Linked DNA regions of Diceros bicornis minor. The protein of the gene in region 3 purifies or fractionates together with the protein of the main gene of each other region. This does not show direct contact. Links are inferred from orthologs where the notes say so. Each region holds a gene or a part of one and is shown on either strand. Other genes may lie near its edges.

Region 1 (7,202 bases), on a different chromosome or scaffold from region 3:
AAGCTTGGTTTATTCAAAGAACAGAAAGACGATCACTGTGAATGGAATGAGGTTATCAAGAGGGAACACGATATGAGATAAGCTCACAGAGGCAGGTTTTGTAAACTAAGATACAAGCTAAGGCAGAAATGTGGATTTTCTAAGAGCCATGGCAGGGAGTGATCCATCTGCTGGGTGAAGAGTGAACTGTAGGGGTGAGGTGGGAGGCAAGAGGGGAAAGCAACTAGTTAGGAAGTTACTGTAGTAATCTAGAGGAAAGATCATGTGGCCTGGAAAGACTAGAGGAAAGATGAGCCAGCTAATAGTAGGGATGGAGGAAAGTGGACTGATTTGGAATGTATATAGAATCTGTAGAAGTTACTAATGGATTAGATGTGGGAAATGAGGGAAGGAAGATTCAAGAATGTCGTCTAGGTTTTGGCTTGTGCAACTGGGTAGACGGTGATGCCATTTACTGAGATGGGACAACTAAATGAAAGGCATAATTTTGGGGAGAAAATTGAGATCTGTTTTAGGCATGTTAAATTTGAAATGTCTGTTTGACATCCTAGTGGAAAAATCATAGGCAGATATATAGAGACAACAGATAGATATCTATATCTCTCTTTCTATAGCTATATCTGAAGTTCCATGGAAAGGTAGAGATAAAATCACAAGAGTCAGCATGATATACACAGTATTTAAGCCCTGAAGCATACATGCCTATCTTCTGCAACTATCCAAATTCCTAGTCATCCTTCAAAACCTAGTTCAGACATCATCTCCCATGAGGTCATCCCTGATCACCCTAGGTTAACTCTTTCTCTTCTCCATTACTTGAGTACCTTGTATGTGCTTTCATTTTTCCATCTAACACTGTACGTAATTATTTGTTGACAAATATGGACAGAGACCTCATTCCATTCACATTAGTCTTCTTTAACATTAACACTGTAACTTCAGTGCCTGATATAGTAGGCTCTCAATAAATGTCAACTAAATTGAAGTGAACTCATCAAATTCACAAAGTAAGCCAGAAGCAAACGTTATGCTTACGATCAAAGACAAAAAGCTAACAAACATTTCCAAAGTCATGACACTGCTAGATGAGAATTAAGATTTCCAATTTCAAGAGAAAAAAAAATAAACAAAACCAATCAAATCCTTTTTCTCCCAACCTCTAAACTAACAAATAAGTCTACAGAGGCAGAAAAGAGGAAGTTCTTATATTCATAGTCAGAAAAAATAAGAAAGGGTTGAGTCCAAAGTACCTACATTATTTGTTCTCTCAATAGCTAACACTGCGACTATCCATAAAAAGATCTGCATAAAAAAATGCTGCAGTGTGTCTACCACCAAACAATGTATCATTTATACTGCAAAAGTTCTAGAAGGAGGGCAGGCAGAATATACTCACCAGCAAACAGTGGGCAAAGTCAGGACCTCCCACCAGGCCAGTGAAACTTCCCAGCTGCTCTGCAAGAGCTAACAGTACCTCATCTTCATCATAAATTGTATCTGGAAATGACAACAACCCAATACTCATCAACAAGGATAGCTGGCCCAGAACTGGACACTCACATAAAACTAGGAAGAGACATGAAGAGACTTAATATGTAACTCGACGGTCCTGTCACAATCCTTTAACAGTCTTTTCTTCCTTCTCAATCAAGAGTCGTCTTAGATCTGTTTTACAGAATGAATTAGAAATTCATAATCCCATTATCAACAATTACTTTACTATTAGCTAAACAGTTAATGTTTGAATATGTCTGGCCACAATATTACAATATGCCCTGTCCTGTTCTCTTTTGCCCCAAAAGCATCAGGCTCAGTTTAGCACTTAATAATACTGGGGGTAACAAATGCTAAAAAATACTCAAAATTTTGAAAGCCACTGGAAAACAGAAATGCCCATGCCTTTCTTTAAACAAAGATTCACATACCTGTAAGGAATGGCAGCAGTTCAGTTCGCGTCCTTTCTACTCCAAGTGCTAGAGCAATTGTTGATAACTTCTTAATACTGTTGAGACGGAGCTTTAAAAAAGAAAGTGGAAAGAAGAACGAAGTAAAGAAATAGTTGTGATTTAGACCAAAAGACAAAAGTTGCCAACAGGTGAGATGGCGTACGAGTAAGAATGAGGAAAACCTTCAGTTTAGATTTTATTCTATGAGGAACGTCAGGAGCAGCGTAACACGGCTTCATTAGGAAGATGTCCTAGTAGAAACACTCTGAAGGCCCCATTAGAGAAATGAATGAAAGAGAATACAACATCCAGGGAGTGAGACATTTTAGAAAGGGAACTCTGGCAGTGGTGAAGCAGGAAACGGTTGAATACAACTCCCGCCTTTTCAAAGAAAAGTTCGCCCAAAGCTGCCACACCGACTCCTCTAGGTTCATCAGCCACCCCACCCTCTTTCTACCCCACGATCCCGGCCGGTTTGCAAGCCCAGAGGAAGGCATTCATTCACCCGCACTTCAAAGGGCCCCTTGGCGCCGCTGCCGGCTGCTCAGCCCCTCGCGGCCCCGCGCCGCCCTCCCTGCGGCCGCTCGTCGACAAGGACGGCCGGCCCAGCGCTCGACGCGGCGCTCCCACCGCACGGCCCGGAAGGGCGCCCAGGCGGGAGGCCGGTTCTCCCACAACCGCCTGGACCGGTGGGACGCCGGGCAGACGCCTCAGGAGGTCGGGAGGAAGGGTGCTGGAGAGCTCCCCGGGAAGGTCGCGCCGAGGCACCACAGCCCCTCAAGGGTCGCTCCCCTCCTCCCCTTCAACTTTCAGCTCGGAGCCCGCCTCTTTCCATCCCCCGGCCACCCCCACCGCGGCGCCGGCCTTCCCGCCTCCCTCCCACGCGCCTGGCTGGGCCGCCTTCGCTCCCCGACCCGAGGCCAGTACCTGCACGTCCTCATTGCGGAGCTCGTCGATTAAAACCGCGATCGGGTATAGCGAATCGTCTCCATCTCCGCCCGCTGCCCCGGGGCCGAGCCCAGGGCCCGCGGCGCCCGCCATGTTCTTTCTCCTCCGCCTGGTTGCTGCCTCCGGCCCCGCGCCCAGGCCCCGCCCCGCGCCCAGGCCCCGCCCCGCGCCCAGGCAGGCGGAGCTAATGCCCGCGCTCCTTCTCCGCCAAGGTGGAGGACCTGGATGTCTGCCGGGCTGGTGAAGGCCCTCGCCCGGTCCCCCTTGGGGGAGCTGTAGCTCTAAACACCAGAAGAAGGGTGGGCTAAGAAACCGAATGGAGCCCCTGCGTCCTTTCCCCAGCCAAAAGAAACAGGGGCAAGGATTCATCCTGTTCGTGGTGCTCTGAAGGGGTCAGGGACCTACTTGAGTGATCCGTGCTGTGTCCTCTTAGGATTCCGGCGGACCAAAGAGGATGCCCAAGGCTAGGAGGAAAAAAGATTTAGCGCCTCCCCTCACTTCATCCTGGCCCTGAGCCAGTGGGTCTCCAGCTCTAATTTCCCCACTAGCCTCAGGCTTCCACAGAACCCCTCCACCTCTTCCTTCGGCCTGTGCGCCAGAATTGTATCTGGCTCCTGCTGCATAAGACAAATAACGCGGGCGGTGAGAGAAAATGAACAGTGCTGTCCAAACTCCCCAGTCAATATTTTTTCCGCCTTCTCCATGCAAGCTGTTAAAAACATGCTGCTCTCTTGTTTTTGTGTTTCTTTTCAGTTTGGTACTGGAATGGTGCCTTCTGTTGTATTTTCTTCCTCCCATTTTTTAGATCTTTAGCATGCTAGAAGTACAACAATCAAGCAAAACTAGGACAAGCTTTAATCCTTCCAAATTGAGTGGAGTGGCTACTTTGCTTGTACAAGAAAGGCTAAACTGGCCTCCCTAGAACTCCAAGAGTCCTGAAAGGCAGCAGTGGGAGGATGTGAGGGTATGGGAGTTCTTTCTTAAAAAACTTAATGGAAAGTTTTCATTTACCCTTGTTAGGGCAGCAGAGAATTACTAGAATGTCCTGTCTTTTTGTTTGTTTTGGACTATAAGCAGCTTAGACTGATACCTATATATGGTGATCACAAGCTTTGAAATGGTAGTTCTATGTCTGATTAATAAAAATGTAAAATTATTAATAAATGCAATTTAGGAGACTTTTTCTTTAAAACATAGGGTTCCTGGAAGTAAATACAGTAGATAGGGCATATGATAGTAGTGGAAGTTTGGGAGTGAATGGACCTGAACAGTATTTCTCAAATTAGGTCTATGGATGTATTCTCTAGGGTTTTAATTTTGTTTTCATTTTGATAATATTTTTTAGATTTGCATAAGCATATACTGGATTATTTGGGTGACCACTTCATAACCTGGTATTGCCACGTGATTTCAGTACCTACATTTGCACGTGTGTTTCAATTCTGCTTTTATTGTTTGGGGATAATGAGAAACGAACAGAGGTGGATTTAAAATGAAAATGGTGTTTTCATGCACAAAATGAAAGCCAAAAGACATCATGGGGGCCAGCTCGGTGGCATAGTGTTTAAGTTCATGTGCTCTGCTTCGGCAGCCTGGGGTTCGAGGGTTCAGATCCCAGGTGCAGACCCACCCACTGCTCATCAAGCGATACTGTGGCAGTGACCCACATACAAAATAGAGGAAGACTGGCACAGATGTTAGTTCAGTGACAATCTTCCTGAAGCAAAAAGAGGAAAATTGGCAACAGATGTCAGCTCAGGGCCAATCTTCCTCACCAAAAAAAAAAAAAAGACATCATGGGACTGCACTGTTGCAGTAGTTCTAACAGAAAAGTGGTGAGAAAATTGAGATGTCAGAGGTCACTTGGTGGCATAGGCATGTTGAACTCAAAAGACGTTGATCTTTCACAAGCAATACCATAGTCACAATACAAGGGATAATTTAGTCTAAGCAAAACATCAATTGTCATGTTAAATTACTATATTAATATGCATAGTATTAGTTTTGTGGTTTCATATGTATTTAATATGTAAATCTTTTTTGGTTTTTTAGTTGTATAAGAACTATAAATAAAAGAACATTATATTCCTACTTTATATTTATAAATTTAAGTAACATTGTAATAAAAATTTAATTGACAGAGTTTTCAAGATTTTTTTTTCCTTTAGAAATGGATCCAAATACTACTCAAGTTTGAGAAACAGAGGGCTGAGAGGTTTTTTGATTTAGTACTTTACCAGTACTAAACAAGTAGATCAGAGGGGGTTCCTATTGGCATGGAGAGGAGAAATCTGTTTCCTTATACTTTATGTAAAAAGTCTTCAGAAATGATAAAGGAAGCAAATGCAGAGAGAAGCACATTAAGTCAATTCCAGACATACCATCATCTAGATATTAGCTTAAGCTTAGACAACCCTCCATCTGCTAAACAGAAATTAGCACATGGATTGATGCTAAGCTATTTTGTTTAAAACTCAAGTACGCTTTGCTTACTCAAGCACAATGAATTGGACACCTAAAGAATAACTATGATTAAATACGAAATCACAAGCTGAGAAAATAGGCCCCAGAAAATTGCCTGGTTTTAGAGTCATCAATTCTGGACTTCAATTCCCACCTCTGTCTCTGACTCATTGTGACATACCTCTCCCTATGCCTCAATCCTGCTTCTCACCCCCTCATCTCCAATAAAATGGAGCTAACCCCCTCTGGTTCCCTCTCTGGTTACTGTGATGATGTGAGAATGAAACAGGTAGTAAACATGGAGATGCTAATAAATCCTTCAATAAAGAAAGTGATTAAAACAGAGTGAAGCAGAAAGAGGCTATTTCAAAAATTGGGCCACATGGAAACTAGAACAAAATGTAAGACAGTCTTTTGGAGAGTGTGGTCCACTGACTATCTGAATCACATAAGTTGCTTGTTTAAAAATGCAGATTCCTCTATGTCAATTATTTCTCAGTAAAACTGGGGGAAAAATGTGCATTCCTGGCCTCCACCCTAGATTTACTGAATCAGAATCCCTGAGAACGGGGCAGGACATTTTACCGTGCACCCCTGGTGGTTCTAATGTGCAATGACGTTCGAAAGACATTGATTTAAAAAGTTCATCTGGAAAAATAAGTACCATATCAACAAGCATCTGCTCAAGGAGAGTCTGAAAAGAGTATCTGGAAGCCACCTCAGTCCAGAAAAAGCAAATGATAGCTACAACTGCTTATCAATAAGCAATTCTATCCCTATTGGCTGTGGTTTTTGCCAGATTAAGACGATCCCTCTTTTGCTGGATTCCTGGAAGTCAGCTAGGCACTACAAATACAGAACTGTGTCACTGAGCTGTTTCCATATGCTCTCTTCCTCTCTATTGCGCCCTCTGGTCTCCTGTCCACATCCCACACACACAAGAAACTAATGACCAGGGAGCACCAGAGGGAATGGCTGAGATAATGCTGAGGATTTGAAGCAACACTCAGGAAACAATGTGACATTCTCAACACTGAGTTCTGATACCCACATACAGTTCACTCACCCAGTGAATCAAGGGAAGACAGGGTTAGATTTGCCCAGGTCCTGTCAGATGAAGCATCAAGAATATGGAGCAGCACAGGCAGATGGGATCGATAGCCATCAACTCTTGTGTTTCTAACAGCTCTCAATGTCACAACAGAAGAGGGTCAGTCCTGAGGAAGCCTGAATGACGTCATTGTGCTCTCTGACCTCTCACCTCACATGTACTAAGCTTGCCTCTTCCTCACAGTCCACAGAGCTTTACAAACAGGCGCTCATTCCAGGACTGATCTGCTCCAGAGTCACCCCACTGGGAGAGAAGGCCAAGTGCAGCAGAGAGACCTATATGTAGGTCGTTCTCTCAGGGCAGACCCAGCAGTGCCGACCCATTGAAAAGGCCATCAGGAAAGTGGTGGATGGCCCAGTTCTTGTACAGAAAACCTGAGGTACATGCAGGCATTTTCCAGCTTTCTTCATTTAGCAAGCTGACCCTGGTAAACAGATTCCCAGGTCTGCACTTAATTCATTGCAAATTAGTAATTATCATTATAGTGTTAATGATATTTTGAATTTATGTTTATACAAAGAATATCCTCATTCTGCGGGTCTCAAATATTCCCCCCTCAACTTCACCTCAATATTTTTACTTTCTTTCTCTTCTCTGCTTTTTGGCAAAATTTTAAACCCATTTTCATGGCTGGGAATACTTGACAAAGAGAAAAAGACTTTACCTGGAGTCACACAGTCAATCAGAAGAAGCTATGGAACTCATAATCAGGGATTATCACTACTCTTTGCTTC
Region 2 (6,847 bases), on a different chromosome or scaffold from region 3:
ACCTACACCACTTGTCTGTCAGTGGCCATGCTGTGGTGGCAGCTCACATACAAAGAGGAAGATTGGCAGCGGATGTTAGCTCAGAGTGAATCTTCCTCAGGAAAAAAAAAAAAAAGATCAATTCTAGTCTAACCAACCACTGCATGTTGGACAATATCTCTAAGTGGCTGTTTAACTTAAATTTGAATACTTTTATTGGCAGGAAGCTTACCACATTCCAAGGTTTCTTATTCTATCTTTGGACATATCTCTTAGCATGTTTTTCATATGAGCTAAACTGTCTCCTTCAAGGTTCAAGTGTTCTCCTCCAGACTACAGAAAATAAACTTTATTTTTCTCTTCCAGATGAATGCCATTCACATATTTAAAATATCCCTGTTCCCTAAGACTTTGGTTAAGTCAGTAAAATTTTTTCAATGGAATCTAAGATAAAACTTATCTTTCATAAATTCCACTGCAGCAAAGAGTGACACGCCAATCTATTAATCCAGGATTAAATTACAGAGTATATGTGAATGTACAATGACAACTATGAAGCACTCTACAAACATAAGGAAAATTACTGGGTCTCCCAAATTAAATCATAAGCAACTGAAGTGTAGAAACTATGCCATATCTATTTTTTTAAAACCATACTTCTGTCTCCTGACAACACAGTATAATGCTATGTAATTCAGTTTAATAAAGGTTTACTGACTGCCTGCTATGTGCTAGGTACTATGTTAGGGATAAAAGATGAATTCATGCTCCTTACAATCAAAGAGCTTACAGTTTAGTGAAATGTACTATAATAACCAAGTATTTACTGAGCACCTTCAACACTAACTGGCATTATGTTTGGTGGAAGAACTAAGCATTCATTAACATGTTGAAGAAAGATCTTGGTGAGGGAGGGAGGAATCTCAGTCTCACTCAAATAAAAGGACCTGAACAACCCTTTACCCTCTTCTTTCTATTCATATCTTTACAAAGCTATAGCAAAATCAACAGCGAATGTGATAGACATGAAAGGAAAACAAGCTTACTTTTCTTAAAAAAACAAGGACACCGGGGCCGGTCCCCGTGGCTTAGCGGTTAAGTGCATGCGCTCCGCTACTGGTGGCCTGGGTTCGGATCCCGGGCGCGTACCGACACACCGCTTGTCCAGCCATGCTGAGGCAGCGTCCCACATACAGCAACTGGCAGGATGGGCAACTATGACATACAACTATCTACTGGGGCTTTGGGGGGAAAAAAGGAGGAGGATTGGCAATAGATGTTAGCTCAGAGCCAGTATTCCTCAGCAAAAAGAGGAGGATTGGCATGGATGTTAGCTCAGGGCTGATCTTCCTCAAAAAAACAAAACAAAACAAAACAAAAACAAGCACACAATCCAAAACAATTTCAAGATTTTAATTCAGTTCACTTAGAATTTATTCATCAAAGTTTCTTACTGCAGAGTGAGACTGGTGAGCTTTCAGGACTGGTTCAGCATCCACTGCTTTTTTAGCAACCATTAATTGTAACATCTGTTTCCGGTACTTGCTCATGATGAGTTCCAAAGCATCCTGATGTTCCTCCAAGGAAACCCATAGCTCTATCAAAAAATAAAATAACTTGGCAGTGATGTCTGAGAGATAACTCCCAAAGCCAAACTCTTAACAGTTGGAATTTTATGACACTCTATGAGATATTGTGAATTCAAAGTTGTAAATCTGCGTTTAGGTCCAAAAAACTCAACAGTTAAGGTCTACGTGAAAAATAACTTTCTGGCTAGTGGCAGCATAGTCTGGCAGAAACAAAATGAGATGTGGAATCAGAAGACATGGGTTTGAGTTCAGTTCTGTGAGTTACTAGCTTAATACTCAAGCAAACCATTTAACCTCTCTGAGCCTATTTTTTATCTATATTGTAATAATAAATACCTGGCTTGCCTACCTCAAAATGAAGATATGAGAATACAATGGGATGATACATGTGAAAGCCCTCTGTAAACTGATATACAAATAACTATTCATAGCCCTATCATAAATAATGTACTCATTCAAGCTTAAGACTACATACCCTGAAGATAAAATTCAGCTCTTCCACTTACACAAGAACCTAAAAAAACCTTCAGTCTTTAGTGTTTATTTCAATTAATATTTAAACATTAAGTTTTAAGCCCTTGAGGATATTAACGCTTTCGTTATGCAAGCCTCCACCTGGGGATGCCTAAATAAGCCACGCAGTAATTCAGCTCTACTAAGCATCTCTTTGATAAGCTGCCTATAAAAACAAAATCAGTCAGATGACATTGAAAAGGGTAATGTAACAAACTTCATTGTTTTGGGCCAGCGCAGTAACTTTTCCTATTAAAAGTACTGACCCGGAAATACATACAGCACGTGCACTTTTGTGAACAGTATGACACTTTTGTAAGAACCTTTGAAATATTACTGGATATGAGAAAATCATAGTAACTACAAAAAAAGTCCTGACTAACCTCTGTTTTCCTGCTGCAAGTCTCTAATCTGTGTATTCTCTTGGGAGAGCAGAATGTGAGGTTTGTATTTGGACAAGTCCTTTATATCGGATGCATCCTCTTGATACTGGACAAACAGAGACAGACTAAGTGCGCCGTCAACAGAACAGCCACAGATGCAAATGAAGAGGCAGGAGTCAGAGCTCCAGGGCAGCATTCTCAGCCCCGATCCCGCAGAAAGGTCTCACCGATGCCCTCTGAGACCAGGAATAAATTCCAGGCCGAGTTTCCATTTTACCTCGCCCTCCATCCCTCAAGTGCCCAGTACCTGAGGGCACGGACCCCTACCCTCTGCCTGACCTGGTCCGGAAGCGCTGTCCCCGCCTCCCGCATAGCGGCTACCCGCCGGTGCAGCGCCGCCGATTGATCCACCAGCGACTCGGCAGCTGCATCATGCTCCCGCAGTCTCTCCAGAAGCGTCTTAGCGTCTGTCAGGATCTTCTCAATGGTGCAGCTCATAGCTGCCACCCGACCCCAGCCCCACCTCTGCTCGCCTACCAGAATCGCTCAGATCCTCCCGCAACGTGTCTCAGCATTATAGACGTCACTTCCAGGTACGCTTAAAAGGCGCCTCGGCAGCTGCGATATGCGCCTGCGCAGTGGCAGCCTAGTCCGGGAGTGACCTGCTTTGACCGGCGGCTTTCTTGCGGCCTCGCCTTGCGGAGTGTCGGAGGCCTGGCCTTGCAATGCCCTTGGTTTCATGTTCCCGCAGCCTGGTGGTCAAGTTCAGTTATGGCTGGGCGGGCTGAGTTTCTCCTTTCCCTACTGGTTTTGATTGATGTAGATTGTTATTCAGTCGTCGTTCTTTTCTTTTTCGTTTAGTTTTTAAAAAATTGTGGTAAAATGCACATAAAATTTACCATCTTAACCATTTTTAAATGTACAGTTCAGTAATATTAAGTGCATTCGCACTCTTGTGCAACCATTACTATCTAACTTCAGAACTCTTCATCTTGCAAAACTGAAACTCTGTACCCGTTAAATACTAATTCCCTATTCTGCCTTCCTCCTAGCCCCTGGCAACCACTATTCTACTTTCTGGCTCTATGGATTTGACTGCTTTAGGTACCTTATGTAGCTGGAATCATATAAATCAGATATGTCGTTTTTGTGACTGGCTTATTTCACTTGGCATAATGTCATTAAGGGTCATTTATGCACATCAGCATTTCCTTTTTAAGACTGAATAATATTCCATCTTATGTATATCACATTTTGTTTATCCATTCATCCATCTATGGACACTTGGGTTGCTTCCACATTTTGACTATTGTGAATAATGCTGCTATGAAGAGAGGTGTACAAATATCTCTTTGAGTCCTTGCTTCCAATTCTTTTTGTTTATACCCAACAGTAGAATTGCTGAGTCATATAGTAATTCTATTTTTAAATATTTTTGAATGACCATACTGTTTTCCACAGTAGCTGCATTTTACATTTTCACCAACAGTGCATAAGGGTTCCAATTTCTCCATGTCCTTGTTGACACTTGCTATTTTCTGTTTTTTGGTTTCTGGGTTTTTTTGCAGGGAAGAAATTCATCCTGAGCTAACATCTGTTGCCAATCTTCTTCTTTTTTTCCCCTCCCCAAATCCCCACTGCATGGTTGTATATCCTAGTTCTAAGTCCTTCTAGTTCTCCTATGTGAGCTGCTGCCACAGCAGGGCAACTGACAGATGGGTGGTGTGGTTCTGTGACTGAGAAACAAACCTGGGTGGCTGAAGCAGTGAGAGCTCCACAATTTTGACCACTAGGCCATCAGGGCTAGCTCTATTTTCTGTTTTTTTGATAGCCATCTTAATGATTGTGAGATGGAGTCATTGCTATTTTCTGCTTGCTTTTTTTTTCCATTTTAATTCAATTAAGAAATTGGAAATAAATTTAACCAGAACAGTGATGACTTTTGTGCTATTTGTTATATGGGTTTATGATTTTACCTTGTCAAGCATGTATGTCAAACATTGTTCTTCTTCATTCATTACTATAATGAATATTTTGGGGGAACCTTCTTTGTTTCAGGCACTGTTTAGTGTCTGGGAATACACCAGAGAATGATACAAAGTCTCTGCTCTTAGGGAGTTTATATTCTAATGGGAGAAAGAGTTCATACTCTTACAAATGATTGAAAGTAATGACAGGATTAGGAGCCTGGTGAGAGGGGCAAGAGTGTCAGAGCAGTAGTGTGAGGTCAGAGAAGTGAGGGGAGAGAACTGAGCTTTTTGCCTTTGTATTCCCAGCAGCTGGCACAATGGAGACATTCAATAATTGTTTGTCAAGAGGGGGATAGGGAACAAATTCAACAAAAATAACAAATCAAGACAACTGACCAACAGGAAAAAAATTAATGCAGAGCCACAGAGGTAAAGAGGTTTCGTTCATTCACTAAAACAAAGCAAAACACTCTTCCTAAGTGATCTCTTTCACTTATTTGCCTTTGACTTCCATTGAGAGATGATGGTTCTCAAATCCGTCTGATCTCATTATCTTTGCTTCTAAACCTGCTCCTCCTCCTGTTTCAGTAAAGAGCACATTCATATACCTCTTTGCCCAAAAAAGAATCCTGGAAGTCATCTTCTATCCTTCCTACTTAGTGTTTACAATTAATCAGTTACCAAAGCAATCTATCTCCTTTATAGCTTTAGGACTTATTTCCTTCTTTGTATTCTCACTGCTATTGGGTATATTGGGCCGTCGTCCTTTCTCACCCAGACAAAGCAACAGTCTTCCAACTGGTCTTCTCCCTACCTCAAGTCGTCTCCTCGTCTACTAACTCTCCCCAAGGATACCACAACCCCTTGCTGCCTTTTCGGTGGCAGGTAATTATTATTCTCTGCCCACCCACGTTAGGGCTGAGAACTAGCCGGCTCATTCTAATTCCCTAATGACACTGCCAAGCAATTACTCTTACTTGCTTGTGTAAAACCTCCGTTTATTTGAAGCTTGTCTCATCCAGCTGGAGAATCTTCTGTCTCTCCTTATTGCTGTCAATTACTGACCTACTACCTTGGGTATTCTCCTTTTTTCATAGAAGATTTGAGGAGCTGGCTTACAATCTTTTTTATTACTTAACATTTTGCTCTCATCTTGGGTGACATTCATGTCCGTGTGGACAATTCATCTAATGTTCTATCCTTCCTTGTCCTCTTCCATTCTAGAGACATTCAATTTATTTGACCATCCATGGCCACACCCTTGATCATTCACTAAAAATTGTTTCTCATCAAAAATTTTAAGCTTTAATATCTAACTCTTTGACTGCAAACTTGGTTTCAATCTATCCAGTTCTTGCAACCCTTTCTGCCACTACTGTCTCTTTGACCTCATCCAGCTCTTTGATTTCTGAATATATCTATATTCTCCCCACCTATCAGACTTTTCTTGTGGTCTAATATTCTTTCCCTGACCAGACTGAGCTCTTGTGATTGGCAATCTGAGCCATCGTCTCTCTGGCACCTCTAATTCTTTAGCACTTTTCTTTTTAGACCAAATGCAAGCAGTAAACTCCAACCCTCGACCAATCTTAGGATTCCAGTAGTGATTAAAAGGGGATACAGAAATAAGGGAGAGTTTTTGTTTCTGCTTTTATTTTGTTTTTATGGACAAATCTTGAGCATGTTTATAGGCTTTATAGGGGAAGGATCCATTAGAGAAAGAGATATAAGAAAGTAGGGGGACATTTAAAGGAGGAAGAACCAGAAGGAGAAGGGACATAGTAGCTACTTAATAAATTTTTGCTGAATATTGATTGGGATGATGGACATAGGGTTAAGAATATAGGTGAAGTTGCTGGACTTGAATAGAAAAGAGACATTTCATTCTCCTTATTTGGAAAGAAAAATAAAAAGGGTAGGTACAACTATGGGTTATAGATGGGGAAACATGAAGATAAAGGAGTTCTAACCTTCAAGCCGTCCCAATACTTCTGTATCCCACCCATCAATAAACCAATAAGATAAGCTCAGGTACCTGTAGTGTTGTTCATGGAAATTAAACAAATTTCCCAAGACCTCTTTTGCTTGTTCTGACTTATTTCCATTTTGATCTAATTTCTATCGGCTCCTGTTTCTTGGCTCCATATCCTCCTTATTATTTCACTCTTACTCTTTGGGTCAGGAAGTGATTTTGGGTTTCCCTACCTTTATTCTCAGCTCTCAGACTGCCCTATCAGCAATTCCACTTTTGTCTCTCTCAGGGTATATACCTTATCCCAGTGATCCTCTGATGATCCAAATGCCAACTCTGACCCACAGGATAATGTTCCTGCCACAGTTACATGAATTCTAGTGGGGAGGGACTTGGAAATTTTACTGGAAATACCTCTTGTAGTACCATGCCCATTGCCAT
Region 3 (7,279 bases):
CCTTTAATTTTTGCAAAAGTAATAATAAAGCAATAATTCAGCATGGCGAGTAGGAGCACAGTCTTGAAGGCAGGAAAGACCTGGTTTCAAACCACAAATTTGCCACATGATACATCGTCTCACCTTGGTCCATTCCATTAGTCTCTGTTGGTTTCTGCATCTACAAAATGGCATAAAGAATACTTATGCCTCAAGTGGTAGCAGTAAGAATCAAGAGGCATAAAAATGATTCGCGAGACAGTGAAAAATCGTGTTTATACTAAAATGTTCTTTCATTCAGGTTTTTTTTTTTTTTTTAAGCATCTTTGCCTCGGCTGCCTGAATTCACTCTGCTGTCTTTCTGAAATTTTTAAGCCAACTCGTTAAAAGCCCTGGTCAGGAGATGAGATGGAAAAAAAGGGAGGGATGAGGTGTCTCAGGACAGGGCACAGAAGGGTTAGTACCTCCCTCCTGTTTTATCCTGAACAGTCAGTCAAAGGCAGGTGCATCTTTAATTTAATCTCAACAACTCTGAGGAATGCCTCCCTGGGCAGCAGCAGCTGCTAATTCCAAGTAGAAAATAAATGTGCTTGTTGTTTTTCTTTTTTAGGGGGAAAGGAGAGGAAAGGAATGTTCTTCCCCAAATGGCACCCAAAAACATTTATCATACAGTTTGAAGATGTGCTTAAAAGCAGGGATGGCTGTCAGAAGCCACCTTCGCACCTCTGAAACTATAACAGCTGAAATGTGGTCCTCTCAACTAAATAAAAATGTACCAGCTTTTACACTGAGAAAGCAAAATAAAAACAGTTCCCTTGTAACACTACCCAGGAAATACACTATATTTGGAAGGCAAAGTTATTAAAGGAATTTTACCTTCTTTTCCCAAGAGTTAAGAATTTTGGCCCACACTCCTGAAGAAAAAAAAAAAGCAAGGACAAAAAAAAATTGTCGAGACCAGATACCACCTGGTGACCATCTGATACTGACTTCAGGGCACAAGCTACCCAGGCTTGAAGTCCCTTTCCAAACTGATTCGCTTTCCACAAAGGCCAACTACCTCCACGGTAAAAACTCTAAGTGAGGCCTTGGTGCTGGATTACAACCTGATTAACACAGCATAGAAGTCAGTCTAAAGGAAATATTAACTAAATGCATTTTTGTTATCATTACAAGAGGCCCCCCTTGCTCTAGTCGTCAAAAATAATTTTTCACGCAGTTCACCTTGCCTTCCTGCCTCTAAATTCAAACCAAACCAAAGCAAGAACTTTAAGAAATACCAAGAAACCACATCTGATTTTTACCTAGCGGTCAGCAAAAGCTTAGGTTTTAAATGCGTGTTCAATTTAAAGGCTCTTTAAATGAGATTCAAGAACAGTTTTCTTCAGGCACACTCAAGATATTAACTTTAACTGCTACTCCTTAAAAAAAAAAAACTCCGGCCAAAATTCTGGTAACTTTATGTTCCTATTTTTCCAGATTTCAAAGCTGAACAGTGAAACCCACTTTTCACGGTTTAAAAAAAAGGAAAAAACATCTGCCTCAGAAGAGGTGGGGCAGATCCCCTGCTCCTAAGAGGCCAGGTAGGTGCCCTGTTCTCAGCCCTCAAGGGCGAGGGAAAAAGAAAAAATGAGCCTGCAGATGTCTGTAAAATAAATAATCCACTTGGAAAACTGTGGTTGTTTTCTTAGGTCCACTCGCTTAGCTAAACTGAGAGAGCAAAACTTGGAAGACATACCGTATCGTGAGATTTGAACCCTAATCATTTTGCCACCATATATGCGCTTACAAACAGTACAAGTTAGTCACGGATGGTGGTTTTCTTTTTCAAAGGGCTAAGAACAGTGCCCAATGGCAAAAGACCTTAATACATTCACGTTAATTTGAAATTCAACTTCTCTCCCCCTCCAAAAAAGTCACTGGTCGGCCAGGATGCCACAAAGTATCAAAGGAGAGGTTGACTGGGAAGGAATTCATCCGGATCCAACCAAGTCTGAAAGTAAAAGCCCAGGGTCCCGGGGTCCGGCACGCGAGTGCACGGTGTCCGACTGATTGCTTCTTCCAGAAGGTTTCCAGGCTCGCACTTTCCCATCTGCACCAGGACAGGCGCGGAACGAACGCGCTGGAAGTGGGGCTGGCACCTACACCTTGCCGCACCCCGCCCTGCCTCCTCCAGCCGGCCGGGCCCGGCCCAGGACGAGTCGGGGCGCGTCCGGGGCTGCCCTCCCGCCGCTCAACTCTCCGGCCGCTCGCCGGGGGGACAGGGGCCTCCGCCGCACGCAGGGCCCCGAGCCGGATCCGGGCCTCCAAGGGCATTTCTGCGCATCCATTCTCCCCGGGGAGGTCGCCGGCGCCGGGCCTGCACTCGGGAGGCGTTGGGAAGAGAGCAAAGCGGGGAGGGCAAGGCGGCTGGCACCCCCGCATCCCTCCCTGACCGCGGCGACGCCGGCCGGCGAGGGCCGCCTCCAGGCCGCGGCGCCCCGATCCCCGCACACCCCCGCCCCCGAGCCTGGGGCCGCGGCGCCGGGCAGTGGCCCCGGGGGCTGGGAGTACCGCGCGGGCGGCCGGCGCGACCCCGGAAGGGCAGCGTGGGGGGGCCGTGTTTACACCGCCAAGTTCCCGCTTCCGCTCCGGCCCGCGCATCCCTCCCTCCCTCGGCGGCCCGGCTGCTGCCTACCTGCATGCCGGGCAGGCCCGACTGCACCGGGGAGTGTGCCATGGCGCTCGGGACGGCCAGTGCCTGGGACGGGACGGTCGGGCCGCGGCGATCCGCGCGGGCGACGAGGCCCGCGGGCCGCGCGCAGCCCTCGGGCGACGGGGGCGGCCGGCCGGAGCCCGAGGCCACCCCAGCCCCGGCGGGTCCCGGGCCGGGCGGCGAGCTCAGCGGCGGGCGGCGGGCCGCGTCTCCATGCGCGGCGCCGGGGAGGGGCTCGAGGGGCGCGGGGCCTCGCCGCCAGCTGCCGCCGCTGCTGCTCCGCTGGAGCCGGGCGGCCTGGGCCCGCGCGCGCCGGTCGCCTGGAGCCGGAGTGGGCGCGCACAGCCGGCCGAGCCCGCGAGTGCCGAGCGCCCCGCGCGCCCCGCCCCGGCCCGGCCCCCGCGCCCGCCCCCGCGGCCCGGCCGGGGACCCCGCCCCGCGCTTCCGGGAGGGGGAGGAGGCTCGCGGCCGCCCGGGGCCCTAGGCCGCAGCCGCCTGCGCCGCCGCCTGCCGGGGCGGCCGGGGGTCGGAGCGTCTCCCGCGGGCTGCCCCTCCCCCCAGCGGCAGGGCAGAGCGGGAGGAGGATGGGCAGCCGGAGGGGAGGTGGGGGCGGGCGGCCGCCCGCCCGGCGGGGAGACGAGGGACGCGGCTTGGAGGCAGGGATGGGCCGCGTGCCCACCACCCCCACCCCACCCGCGGGCCCAGTCGGGCCCTAAGGGGGTCTGGGCAGCGCGGGAGCGGTGCGCACCGACTCTTCCTCTATCCTCCTCCTCCTGCCCTCCCAGCCAGCCCACCGCTCGCCATCTGCCCCCGAACAAACTGGCTCCGGGCGGCCTCCTCGAGGGTAGAGTCTGGGGCTGGGGGACCTGGGGAGGGAGAGTGCCCCGCGGGGCCTCAGCCAGTGGCCAGTTCAAAACTACCAGGGCGGAGCTTCTTCGGCGTCTGGGTAAAGTTTCCTACCAACCCAAGGAGGAAACCGAGAGGGGAGAGGCCGAGAGCTGTTAATCCCCCGTGCTTTTGCTACTTGAAGACAGCCCCGCTTGGACTTCGAGGCGCTGCAAACTTAGCTAAGTGAGGGGGCTCCGCACCAGGGCGGGAGCGGCCACCCACGAGAAGGGAAAGGTGGGGGAGGGGCAGGGAGGAAGGGAAGACAATCGAAGGAAACGTGTCTAGACTTACCCCGGCCCTCTCCCTCTTTCGGCTACCAGCGAAAGGGCCAGCTCCGCCTTCAGCACCAGTTCGACCCCCACCGTTTAGCCACCTCTTCTCCAACTGCAGAGGAAAGACATTAGGAATGAGTCAATACTGCCTCCAGAAAGTATTTTATTTACAATGACAGAGTGGCAGCCACTGAAGTGATCTGCTGCACCTCAGGTTGTGGGGACCCTGGCTCCTCATTCATGCCCGTGAATGCTTTTGTTGCACCATCGCTGTGCTAGGTCGGACGTACAAAAATGAGCCCCCCAGAGTTCACAGACTATTGGAGGAAACTCTAAAAGTCCTCTACTAAGGCAAGGAATGTTTCTTCTCTGAGATGTCACTGTGTTCTTAACAACTTCAGGTCCCTCTGGTGCTCTGGATCAGAGAGTGGGGTGCTTAGACTGAATCCCTCTTTCCCTTTGGAAATATGCATGTTTTTCCTCGAGGTCCTTCAGGATGGTTCACACACCTTCATGGTTGTCACTGGTACACTGTTTTCACTGAAATATGAAGCCCTGCCACCTCCAAGGAATGTGAAGAGCATGTGGCAAATACAAAGTTAAGAAAAGCATGAATCCTGATACCTAGGAGCTTGCCATCTTGTATAAATCTTGTGTACCTAAAAAATGGTTACGTAAAGAGATGAACAGCAAAACAAGCAAAAACGTGAGTCTTAAAAGGGTTAATACTCTTTAACCCTGGAATTCTACTTAAAGTAACAAATGCTGAGGAAACAACCAAGAAGTGCAGAAGAACGTAGATAAAAAGATGCAGTGCAGTGATATTTATAATTGTGGGAAAATTGGAAACATTAAAAGTCCACAGAGATTTTTAAGTAAATGATAGTATATTCATAACGTGAGTTCTAGGTAGTTATTAAAAATTATGTATTTCAATATTTAGTAACATGGAAGAATATTTTCATTATATATTATTAAGAAAGAAAATACAGGGTACAAAATTATGTATAGTCTGATCTCAAGCTACTCCACATATATGAATTTATAAATTTAACATATATATAATTTAAATTTATATAATTTTATGCATATATGCATAAACAGAGAAAAACTTGGAAGTATATTTACCAAGCAGTGGCTATCCCTGGAATTAAAGGTGATTTTTTCAGTAGGTGGTCAACCAGTAGAGACTATCATGCTAAAGAAGTCTCTCCTTAGGGTGAGCCGTCAGGGCAATAACATGGCAGCAAGATAAGGAGGAAGAAACAGGACAAGTGGGCAGAAATGTTTGGGCCCTGATCTGAGGCATTACCATAGGAAACTCTCAAAGAACACTGGGGCCCACTTTACGGTGGGCTAATTTCCAACAAATGTGCCACAGGGGACACTGGACCATAACAACCTGGGTATAAAAAGTAATCAGAATCCCGTTTTCTATCCAGAGGCTAGTGAGGCTAAGAACATGTTGGTTACAATGGGATATAACTTATCTGCACACAGTGACCTGCATTCATTAGCTGGTCTATTTCCTTGTACCCTGTTTATCTCCTCACCACGACTAAACCTCATTTCCTCCTTCAACCATATTTCTACAATTGAGCACCATTCTCCTTGAAAGAGAAGAAAGAAGCAAAATAAGAGTTACTGGTGCAGCTCGGTCATATGCAGACATTACCCGGGATTCCCCATCAGTAGCCCTCTCCCTTTGTTTTAGCAGAGCAGAGATGATTGACAGGGCCCGAGCCCATGATGAGATCCTGCCCAATTGCTCATTGCATTGGTTCATACATTAACACATTGTTCTGAACGCCAACTACATGTCAGACATCTAGGTTAGTGTTGGGCATATAAACGCTGGATCCTCAAGTGCCTCTTATCCCATCCTAGGGACATGGTCTCCCAGAATGCTAACTTCAGAATTTTACAATACCACAACTGATTAAACTTAGAGTCACAACAGCTATAATTTCCACAAGGGAAAGAAGGTTATCCTGTCATCCTCTTCCTCTGGTCACTTTGTCTCCACCCTCAACTTATAATTACAACAGATCATATACTATTGTAATTTCAGAAGGAGAGATTTTGAGGGTCTCCATAGAGATTATGCATTTTCTGGTCTCCATGGAGACACTTGCTAACCCATGGAATTATTTTCATCCCCTGGCTCTCTTTGTCTTTTGTGTTGACTTAAGGACATGAATTGGGCAATGAATTGTGCTCTGACATATATTTGGGACCACAAAGGACATTTCCATACCCTTACAATGAGCCCCTCCAAATATAGAGCCCTTGTGTATTGAAGTTCCCTAAGCCAGCTCTGTAGTCTCAGCAGAGCTCAAAGAGTGCAGCCGAAAACAAGAATTCAACAATCAGTCCCTTCACTTCTCCTTCTGAGTTGAAAAGATAAACACCCCCAAATGCCACTTTATAAAGAACAGCTAGACAAGTAGCACATTAGCAATTTAAATTTGCAGATTAAAGAAAGGGACTTACATGGTGAACTTTAAAGGGAGAAATATGAGTAGCTTGGATAAGTAACTAACAGAAGGCTTGACAAATTTCTACACATGTTCAGCAGGTGAAGACACAAAAGAGGAAGACAGATTATTAAAATCAGTATGAAGAAGCATGCCTCGTCATAGTTAGATGACATGATGGCAAGAAAATATATGCTAAAGCCCTAGGAAAAGATCCAGCTACATTGAGGTATGGTGCAAACGAAGTTTCATTGTGTGGGTGTGAAGCTCAGAGGGCCAGCTCTCAGAGCGACGTGGCTCCACGTCCGTTTTTGGTTGCTAGGGCTGCCATAACAAAGTAGCACAGGCTGGGCGGCTTAAACAACAGAAATTTATGTCCTTACAGTTCTGGAGGCCAGAAGTCCTAGATAAGATGTGGCAGGGTTGATTTCTTCTGAGGCATCTCCTTGGCTTGTAGATGGCCATTTTCTCCCTGTATCCACACATGGTGTTCTCTGTGTGTACGTGTGTGTGTTTCATAACCTCCTCTTCTTATAAGGACACCCGTCATATTTGATTAGGGCCTACCCTAATGACTTTATTTTAACTTAATTACCTCTTTGAAGACCTTATCTCCAAATACAGTCACATTCTGAGGTACTGAGGGTTAAAACTTCAACATATGAATGGGGTGGGGGGACACACATGATTCAGCCCATAACACACCCTTTTCACTGTATGCACGTTTGCGGTCAGCCCCTTTAAGTGGTTCCTCGAGGCTCAGCTCCCTGAGCGAGAGCTTCCTCTCTCCCAAGGCCTGTGGACCTTTCTGCACACTTCACATTTCACATTTCTGCTATTAGGCATTGCTTCATATTTCCTTGGGCGTAGTCCCTAAACTTTATCTCGCGTAGAAACCGGAGCCTTAATCTCCAGTCACTGGACAACTGAGAGCAGAAGCAGGGAACAGAGGCAGGTGTTTGCTTGGT

Evidence for each region. Proteins that work in one complex are often made in the same cells at the same time.
Region 1: the proteins of STK24 (region 3) and PPP2R1B purify together in Homo sapiens (affinity purification with mass spectrometry; 3 studies listed by BioGRID and IntAct, with this or other methods). This does not show direct contact. The link is inferred for Diceros bicornis minor from reciprocal best matches to the Homo sapiens genes STK24 and PPP2R1B.
Region 2: the proteins of STK24 (region 3) and SIKE1 purify together in Homo sapiens (affinity purification with mass spectrometry; 4 studies listed by BioGRID and IntAct, with this or other methods). This does not show direct contact. The link is inferred for Diceros bicornis minor from reciprocal best matches to the Homo sapiens genes STK24 and SIKE1.

Annotation. Positions count from the first base shown.
Region 1 is NC_080746.1:24,465,759-24,472,960, reverse strand, and holds the start of PPP2R1B (serine/threonine-protein phosphatase 2A 65 kDa regulatory subunit A beta isoform), read right to left. Parts: upstream 3,006-7,202; 5' UTR 2,988-3,005; coding exon 2,874-2,987; intron 2,017-2,873; coding exon 1,926-2,016; intron 1,498-1,925; coding exon 1,397-1,497; intron 1-1,396. UniProt on the Homo sapiens protein: The PR65 subunit of protein phosphatase 2A serves as a scaffolding molecule to coordinate the assembly of the catalytic subunit and a variable regulatory B subunit.
Region 2 is NC_080743.1:47,414,663-47,421,509, forward strand, and holds the start of SIKE1 (suppressor of IKBKE 1), read right to left. Parts: upstream 3,006-6,847; 5' UTR 2,963-3,005; coding exon 2,804-2,962; intron 2,571-2,803; coding exon 2,465-2,570; intron 1,577-2,464; coding exon 1,434-1,576; intron 1-1,433.
Region 3 is NC_080748.1:74,651,016-74,658,294, forward strand, and holds the start of STK24 (serine/threonine-protein kinase 24), read right to left. Parts: upstream 3,021-7,279; 5' UTR 2,699-3,020; coding exon 2,657-2,698; intron 1-2,656. UniProt on the Homo sapiens protein: Serine/threonine-protein kinase that acts on both serine and threonine residues and promotes apoptosis in response to stress stimuli and caspase activation.